Linked DNA regions of Saccharomyces cerevisiae S288C. The protein of the gene in region 2 binds, or shares a complex with, the protein of the main gene of each other region. Each region holds a gene or a part of one and is shown on either strand. Other genes may lie near its edges. The genes, in order: PRP2 and SPP2. A codon is read from its position in the direction of its gene.

Region 1 (5,172 bases), on a different chromosome or scaffold from region 2:
ATGCTGAGGCTACAAAGGAAGAATTTTCGTCTGCAGAAAATAGAGATGAAAAAGACTATCTTACCAACCAGCAGCCGAAAAATCTGAGTACTCCCTCCACCAGTTCCAACGGTGAATTTATACCGCATATTTTTTATTCGCTGCACCAAATAAGGAAGGATCCAAACAATCTCTCAAATCAATTGGAAACCTTAACAGGTTCGATTAGACATCGTTTGAAACTTTGTAAATCTTTGATATCGGAAAACGAAGATACCAAGGATTTATTAAGTAAAAGTCCATCAGAATGGCAGGATATCATCCATCAACGTGAACAAGAACTGCAAATTAAGAGAGACGTCTTGGATGATCTTTATCGCAAGTTACAACGATAAAATCTATGCTATCTATCTTTAGTCTATATATATATATATATATACATACGCATACCACATCTTCAAACGTGCATATAGAATGGAGCCTGCGTTTCTAGCAATACACATACACCTGTCAAAAAACCTTCACCGCCTCCCCCTATTTGTTTTATCGTCAATTAAATCTTTAAAGATTTGTGGAACCATGTCTATCAACCATTCTTCCTTAGGGATAACTAGACAGTCCCTGATAAATTCCTTCGACGTTAGCATCAATTGTTGATAAAGCACATATTTGCTTGGTCTCTGCGCCTTTTCCTTATGATTAACGAAAAGTATACTGGTAGGATGAACACTAACGTTCAGCCCACCTGATGACCTACCCATGGTTTGATAGCCGGTGGGGCCTAATTGTACAATATTCATCGGAAACCCGCTGATGAAGCATCGAGTTATTCTAGCATTTATGTAGCCCGCTATATTGCCTATCTTCATCCTGGCTTGGTCGTTCTTTTCAACTAATCCAACCTTTTCACTGCACCTGAATAATTGGTTTCTAATATTTCTTACCCTCAACATCGTTTTGAATTGAATTTTGTGGTCTTGACACCAACTTCTGGAAAATTTAGAGTTTCTCCATTGGTTGAAGATTTCCAAATACAATATGTGATCACTTTCCACTTCGCTTAACACACTTGCCGCAGCATCTCTTTTTTGACCAATAAATAATGAAGGTGTTTCATGTAGCATCGAAACTATGGTCAAACACTCTTCTAGTACACCTTGACATTGTTCGTGCGTAGCAGCTGTATAAAGCACTTTTGCAAATTCAGGTTCACAAGGAAACTCGCACATCATTTTACCTAACCGAGTGATTGTCCCTTTGCTATTTAAGGCACCTAAAATGTATAAATTTTCCAAAGACTTCCGTAATGTGGGGATACTGGGCTTATCCATCAGGGGAAACTTTATTAGGTCAGTAACGCCAAGCGATAATAATAATAACACCGTATTAGAAAGATTTGTTCTTGTGATCTCAGGCTTAGGCATAAGTTCCAACTCGTGCAAATATGACCATTTGGTAAAAATTCTAAAACATTTTCCCGGCCCAACACGACCAGCCCTACCGGCACGCTGATCAACTGAAGCTCTTGAGCATGGAACTGTTAAAAGTTGGGTCATTCCAGTGGAGGGTACGTACGAATTTTCCTTAACAAATCCAGGATCAATGACATATCTAATACCATCAATGGTCAATGAAGTTTCCGCAATATTAGTTGCCAAAACAACTTTCCTACAATTTTCCGGAGTCGGCTGGAAAATTTTCAATTGCTGCTCTTGGGGTAAATTTGCGTATATAGGAGTTATAATCATTTGTTTTGTTCTAGAACCTAATTTAGACATGATCTCCTCCAGTTTGGTTTTTGTTCTTTCAATTTCTTCTTGCCCCGTTAAAAACACCAATATATCCCCCGGTAAACTTTGCGTAGTATGAATTTGAAAAATAGTTGTTATAGCGGCATGTATATAGTTTGCCTCCGGCTGTAATGTGTAGTGGATATCTACAGGATATCTTCTCCCAGGAACGTTGAAAATGGGACAATTATCAAAAAACTCTGAAAATTTTTTTGCGTTCATTGTTGCTGATGATATAAGCAATTTTAAAGTGGGCCTCTGCGGCAAAATATCTTTCAGCAAACCTATCAGGATATCTGTGGCTAGAGTACGTTCATGAGCTTCATCAATCATAATACAAGAATATTTGCTTAATTTGGAATCTGTAAGAAATTCTCTTAGTAACATACCATCCGTCATATACTTTAGAACCGTTTTATTTGGGGTTGTTTTGTCTTCAAAACGGATCTGATAACCCACTTCCTTCCCAAGCACAACATTCATTTCATCTGCTACTCTTGCAGCAACAGAAGTGGCCGCCACACGACGTGGTTGTGTTATGGCAATCTGTAACTTTCCCTGATCAGTGAATCCATCTTCTACCAAATATTGGGGTAACTGTGTGGTTTTACCAGAACCGGTTTCACCCATTATAATCAAAACTTGATTTTTTTTGATCTCTTGTAGTAGCTCATCCTTGTATTGATGTACAGGCAAAAGTTTTCTTGCCTCTTGTATAGTCAGTATACGCTTTTCCTCAGTTTCTAAAGCTTGTGCTAGACGTGCCTCATATTGAAGTTTCTCTTCAGGTAGTAAATCGTCCTCCTCATTAGTATAATCAATCATTGCATCTGTGTCGAACACATAATCGTACTTGTCAGAGCCTTCCAATGTTATATCATCAGGGTGATCGCTTTGCCCCGCCATAGCATTTCGCAATTGTTGTTCTTCCCACATGCGTTGTCTGTTTATTTTGTCAATTTCTTTTGCATTCTTTATTTTATGAGTAACTTCTACGTTAAATTTAGAATTAGAAGAGGCGTACTTAGTTTCATTCTCGGAGTCACCTAGTAGACCCTTCTTTGTAGTAAGTTCATTATTTGACGTTATTTTTTCATCATACTTTGATGACTTTTTTTGTGATCCAAGTTGTTCTCCTTTTAAATTGTTCTTTTCTGGACCTTGGTTCGTATTAGAAAAAACTTTATTGGGGTCATAGCGTGATCGTTTTAGCTGCAAGGCAGAGTTCTTATCCTTGGCCTCTTTGTCTTCTTCCTCACCCAAGGAAGAAGGCTCTATTCTTACTGCATTGTCATTCTGTCTTGTAACTTCATACGTTCGTTTCACTCTTCGCTTACCGGTTTCAGATGTAATACTTGACATGTGTTGCTATACACGCTTGTTATCTATATAGATGCCAATTAAACATATAGCAGCTATCCGTTATTACTTATACAATTGATTAATATCACTTTTTAATTGTCCGGGTAACTAACTGTCTTCCACTTTCAGCACGTTCTCGTCATCAGGTTGTATGGGCTAGTACTGTTTTGGCTACATTTGAGATACGAGCACTTAAAGAATTCTTGCATATTTTCGATGATTAGTCTTTAATTTTCCCACTTGTTCTCACTATTTCCTCTATTGTCTTAATACGCTCACATATCGAAGTTTTTTTTTCATGCGATGAGCTTCGAGATGAAAAAAGGAAACTGAAAAATTTAGATCGATAAGATAAGAGATGTGATTTTTTTTTTTTTTCGTAAGGCTGTAGGCCTTGGATAACGTCTTATTTACTATTTATATGCGACATCTTCGATAATTTCATACGTTTAATTTCGAACTCGCATTTATTTTATTTATTATGTCCCATCGTATAGCACCTTCCAAAGAACGATCTTCATCATTTATTTCAATTTTAGACGATGAAACAAGAGACACATTGAAAGCTAATGCAGTCATGGATGGTGAAGTAGATGTCAAAAAAACAAAAGGAAAAAGCTCTCGGTATATCCCACCATGGACAACTCCATATATAATAGGTATAGGTGGTGCTTCAGGTTCAGGCAAGACAAGCGTTGCTGCTAAGATTGTGTCGTCAATTAATGTTCCCTGGACAGTATTAATATCTTTGGATAACTTTTACAATCCATTAGGCCCAGAGGACAGAGCCAGAGCCTTTAAAAATGAATACGATTTCGACGAGCCAAATGCCATCAACTTAGATTTGGCATATAAGTGCATTTTGAACTTAAAGGAGGGCAAAAGGACAAATATCCCAGTTTATAGCTTCGTCCACCACAATAGAGTTCCTGATAAAAATATAGTCATATACGGGGCCAGTGTGGTAGTTATCGAAGGGATCTACGCCCTTTACGATCGCCGATTGCTGGATTTGATGGACTTGAAAATTTATGTTGACGCTGATTTGGATGTCTGCTTAGCAAGAAGATTGTCGAGAGATATAGTTTCCAGAGGGAGAGATTTGGATGGTTGTATTCAACAATGGGAGAAATTTGTGAAACCAAATGCGGTAAAGTTTGTGAAACCAACAATGAAGAATGCAGATGCTATCATTCCATCGATGAGTGATAATGCTACAGCGGTAAATTTAATCATTAACCACATCAAGTCAAAACTGGAACTAAAATCAAATGAACACTTAAGAGAGCTAATCAAATTGGGCTCTTCTCCTTCACAAGATGTGCTTAATCGTAACATAATTCATGAATTGCCGCCCACCAACCAAGTTCTTTCGCTGCATACTATGCTTCTAAATAAAAATCTAAATTGCGCGGACTTTGTTTTCTACTTTGACAGGTTAGCAACAATTTTGTTATCATGGGCACTTGATGACATTCCTGTAGCACATACGAACATAATTACACCTGGTGAGCATACCATGGAAAACGTTATTGCCTGTCAATTCGATCAAGTTACAGCTGTTAATATTATTCGATCTGGCGATTGTTTTATGAAGTCTTTGAGAAAGACGATCCCCAATATCACAATTGGTAAATTGTTGATTCAGTCCGATTCACAAACTGGGGAACCTCAACTGCATTGCGAATTTTTACCCCCAAATATAGAAAAGTTTGGCAAGGTTTTCTTAATGGAAGGTCAAATCATAAGTGGTGCGGCCATGATCATGGCCATCCAGGTGCTTTTAGATCATGGTATTGATTTGGAAAAGATTAGCGTGGTGGTTTATTTGGCCACTGAAGTTGGTATCCGACGTATATTAAATGCATTTGATAACAAAGTCAACATTTTTGCTGGTATGATCATCTCCAGAGAAAAGTTACAAAATCATCAATACAAATGGGCATTGACCAGATTTTTTGATTCAAAGTATTTTGGTTGTGATTGAGAATAATTAGAGGCAATATAAAGTAAAATTAAATAATAGTGCACGTATACATAC
Region 2 (3,261 bases):
AACTCGCCAAATGTATCGATTAATAGGCAAAGGAAATCTTATCCTTTAACTACAAAAGTCACTTCCAATTCCACGAAGGAAATCATCAAGTTTCATAATCAACCAAATACTAATGCAAACGAAATTGTTTTACGCTGTAAGATGGTCAAAAACTTGTCAGATTTACAGCTTATTAACATTAATCAAATACTAGACCAAATTACCATGGAGCTATATGTTGATTTAACCAAAATAGTAGAAGATTGGGAGTTTAAAAACAAAAATGATTGGATGAAACAATGGGGTACTACCTTTGCATCCCAATTATTGTTGTTTGGGTTTGGTGCCATGGTTTGACTATTGCTTATATAATATCAAACTGAACTTCCTTGCATTTCATTTATCAAGTAAATTGAAGAAAAAATAAGAAAAAAAAGCCAAACTAAAAATACCTCCTTCGGAACATGCATAAAATATAATGTGTATATACCAAGTACTTTAAATTATATATTCAAACTTTCTCATGACTTATTTTTTTTGTCGTCATCAACTTTAGTGCCCGTTATTTTATCGATTTTTACGACGGGCATAAATGAAGCCTCCTCCACGTTTATTGCCTTATTTAACTTGGCACCAATTCCCAGTCCATCAGGATGTATCTGTGAAACATTTGAAACGTCCTTGTTTCGACTCTGTGTCTTGTCGCCTTTAGAATCTTGCTCGGAGTCACTTTCCCACCCCATACCCCGAAGTAAAGCATCTCCAAATTCCTCGACAGGTACCTCATTATATTCTTTTTCGGTGACATATTCCACCAGAGGAGCATCGTTTTTTTTGGTATCCGCATTTTCACTCAGCTTGATCACTAATTTCTTCTTAGAAGATGATTCTTCATCAAGATCGAATTTATCAATACTTTGAATCTTTATCTTACTTTGAGGTTTATGCGAAAGGCTTGCAGTTTCCGCATCATCCCAATCGAATAAGTTGGCCTTCTGTAATGAGTTTTTTTTTTTCGTCTTCTTGGAAATATTTTTTTTCAAGGTCTTACTCCCCAACTTAAGTGAAAACTTGCTCATTCTACATCCTAGATATGCCTCTAGACATTTTACCTACCATCGCTCGACGTGCATTATTACCTTAATAACTTAAAACAGCTATTCCTATATTTTTACATTTTTTTCTACGCACGGTCGGGTAACAAATGATAGCGCCAGATCATTGAGAACCCAAGTGTTGCATGTTGAACCTGCAATGCATAAATATTAGAAGCATTAGAAGCATAGTAGTATGAAGTGACTGTGACAAATGAAGCTCTGTAATTCTTAGTTTGAATAACTTGCACATGTACTATGGTCAGTATCATGTCAAGCTTGTAGTACGTGTGAACACAGATTTGGTTATGGAGTAATATAATACTTAACAGCAAGAGAACATCAATGGAGCTTTACTTAGACTTCGGGAGGTTTTCATACAGTTGTGTACTATACATAGATTAATAAGATTGCATATCAGAACTAACAATCCTATCTTGAGCTGAGTACCGAGTTTGTATCAGCCTACAATTAGAGATTTCAATGGGAAAAAATGAGTATGCAACAAATAGTTAACCATTGCTCGATTAAAGCACTCTTCTTTTTTATAAGAATACCTAGGATAAGATCATTTAAACTTAAATTCACAGCCATAATATATGCATAACTCCTCATATAGCTGGTCTTATAGTAGTTCGATGGAGTACACTGTTAGCCCTGGCTTAAAAGTCGTGAAATCATTGAAATCAAGATGATCCAAATCCAAATGGAACAAGTAATTTCTTTTGGGTATTAAGTTAATAGTGCCATCTCTCTTCAACTTTTTCAATTCTGATGTCATGGAATTGGGAGTTACTAAAGTTAGTGGAGTTATGGACCCGTTTAAACGCAGCCGCCTAATTGTTTCTGTTAAAAGTGGTAAATCACAGCCTTTAAGGTCTATTACATGATGGTTACCTACACTGAATGCCACTTCATCTATCGACTCAATACCATCCTGTGTATTGATAAGAGAAGAAACGGTTAGGTTATTGCTCATATACATCCAGGTGGGTGGTGAGTATGTTTTCCACCATATGTGAACGCCCATTTGTTCGGTACGAAAGTGGAAGTAATCTCCCAAAAATTGGATAATTCCTGCTTGATGTGAAATTCCCATGATGAACGCCATGATTATGTTAAAAAGAAGCCAAGTTCCCTTGAAAATTTTCTTGTTTACTAACGTGGAACTCAGAGGTGTCCAGTTTAAGTTTGTCACGAGTAGTGGCACTAGCGGTACAAGGAATCTTAATTCTTGATGTTGAAAGAATGAAAGAAAAAGCAGGCCAGATATGATTGCGTAAGTAGATAATTTATCGAGTTTGTAACCGGAAAAAATCGCTAGCAGCAATACTGGGCCAACTATTTGAGGTAAATTGACCAGCAGATGGGTGTATCTTGGATGTAATCCATGTACTTGCAAATTTTGGACATTGAGGTTGTATTTCAGGTTATTCAAGGGCGTAATGACAAATCCCTTTCCGTTGTTATAAATATTTGTATCAATAAGAACAAATAGACACGAGGAAAATGAAAATGAAAGTAAAAGTAAAGAAAAGGATTTCCAATGGACCCGGTAAAACTTCCAGAATAATATCAAACATGGTAAGAAAATAAATGCAGGAAAAGTAACTCTATTAAAAACACCAAAACTAAATATAAGTCCCAATATAACCGAATTTTTGAAATTACTTCTTTGAATATTTTTTTCGTTTACCATATCTTCCATTACAGTTAAAGTTGAGATTAAAGCCAGCGTTTCTATGGAATTGGAAAACGTGTGTGTTTGGTACGTCCAGGTTACGTAAGAAGTTAAAAGTAGACTTTTTTTGATGAATTGTACGGCCTTTCTCTCATCCCTTATTAATTTAGGTATTAAAAAATGATAGCACAATAGGTACATCACATAGTTTTGTAGTCTCATCGAATACAGAATTAACGCTGGGTTGTCCTGAATTTCGGGAAAAGATTCTAAAATAGTGAACAAAGGCCCGTAAACCAATAATAGGGGGCCGTAACTCCTAGCAGCAAATTTTGATTTAAATTCCCATGGGATGGTACCTTTGACCTTCATGAACTGCATAGCCAAAATCTCGATGCATTGGAAATGTTCATCTGGATGAATATACGACGGGCCTAGGCATAGCATTAGGCCGATGGCATATACTAAATAAAGCCACCATTGATACCTCATCATACACTTCCAAGT

The links.
Region 1: the proteins of SPP2 (region 2) and PRP2 are in contact, whole or in part, in a cryo-EM structure (PDB 7DCP), measured with the Saccharomyces cerevisiae proteins. Residues at the interface, in NP_014791.1 of Saccharomyces cerevisiae: Ile73 (codon at 842), Lys74 (codon at 839), Leu75 (codon at 836), Ser76 (codon at 833), Glu77 (codon at 830), Leu88 (codon at 797), Val89 (codon at 794), Glu90 (codon at 791), Val92 (codon at 785), Glu96 (codon at 773), Tyr97 (codon at 770), Asn98 (codon at 767), Val100 (codon at 761), Pro101 (codon at 758), Val102 (codon at 755), Glu103 (codon at 752), Phe105 (codon at 746), Gly106 (codon at 743), Asp107 (codon at 740), Leu109 (codon at 734), Leu110 (codon at 731), Met113 (codon at 722), Gly114 (codon at 719), Trp115 (codon at 716), Gln140 (codon at 641), Ile141 (codon at 638), His142 (codon at 635), Pro143 (codon at 632), Asp144 (codon at 629), Gly145 (codon at 626); in NP_014408.1 of Saccharomyces cerevisiae: Lys170 (codon at 2,624), Tyr171 (codon at 2,621), Asp172 (codon at 2,618), Tyr173 (codon at 2,615), Pro413 (codon at 1,895), Glu414 (codon at 1,892), Ala415 (codon at 1,889), Asn416 (codon at 1,886), Tyr417 (codon at 1,883), Ile418 (codon at 1,880), His419 (codon at 1,877), Ile422 (codon at 1,868), Thr423 (codon at 1,865), Lys454 (codon at 1,772), Ile458 (codon at 1,760), Lys461 (codon at 1,751), Leu462 (codon at 1,748), Pro519 (codon at 1,577), Gly520 (codon at 1,574), Phe521 (codon at 1,571), Thr538 (codon at 1,520), Pro540 (codon at 1,514), Phe565 (codon at 1,439), Ser569 (codon at 1,427), Leu574 (codon at 1,412), Leu595 (codon at 1,349), Thr600 (codon at 1,334), Asp601 (codon at 1,331), Leu602 (codon at 1,328), Ile603 (codon at 1,325).

Annotation. Positions count from the first base shown.
Region 1 is NC_001146.8:643,820-648,991, forward strand, and holds PRP2 (DEAH-box RNA-dependent ATPase PRP2), read right to left. Parts: upstream 3,132-5,172; coding exon 501-3,131; downstream 1-500. Other genes in the region: CSE2 (Cse2p), read left to right, coding at 1-374; uridine kinase URK1, read left to right, coding at 3,613-5,118. UniProt on the Saccharomyces cerevisiae protein: Involved in pre-mRNA splicing. Is required together with ATP and at least one other factor, for the first cleavage-ligation reaction.
Region 2 is NC_001147.6:608,140-611,400, forward strand, and holds SPP2 (spliceosome ATPase-activating subunit SPP2), read right to left. Parts: upstream 1,059-3,261; coding exon 501-1,058; downstream 1-500. Other genes in the region: MDM32 (Mdm32p), read left to right, coding at 1-336; SMP3 (glycosylphosphatidylinositol-alpha 1,2 mannosyltransferase), read right to left, coding at 1,699-3,249. UniProt on the Saccharomyces cerevisiae protein: Involved in pre-mRNA splicing; specifically in the final stages of spliceosome maturation. Promotes the first step of splicing.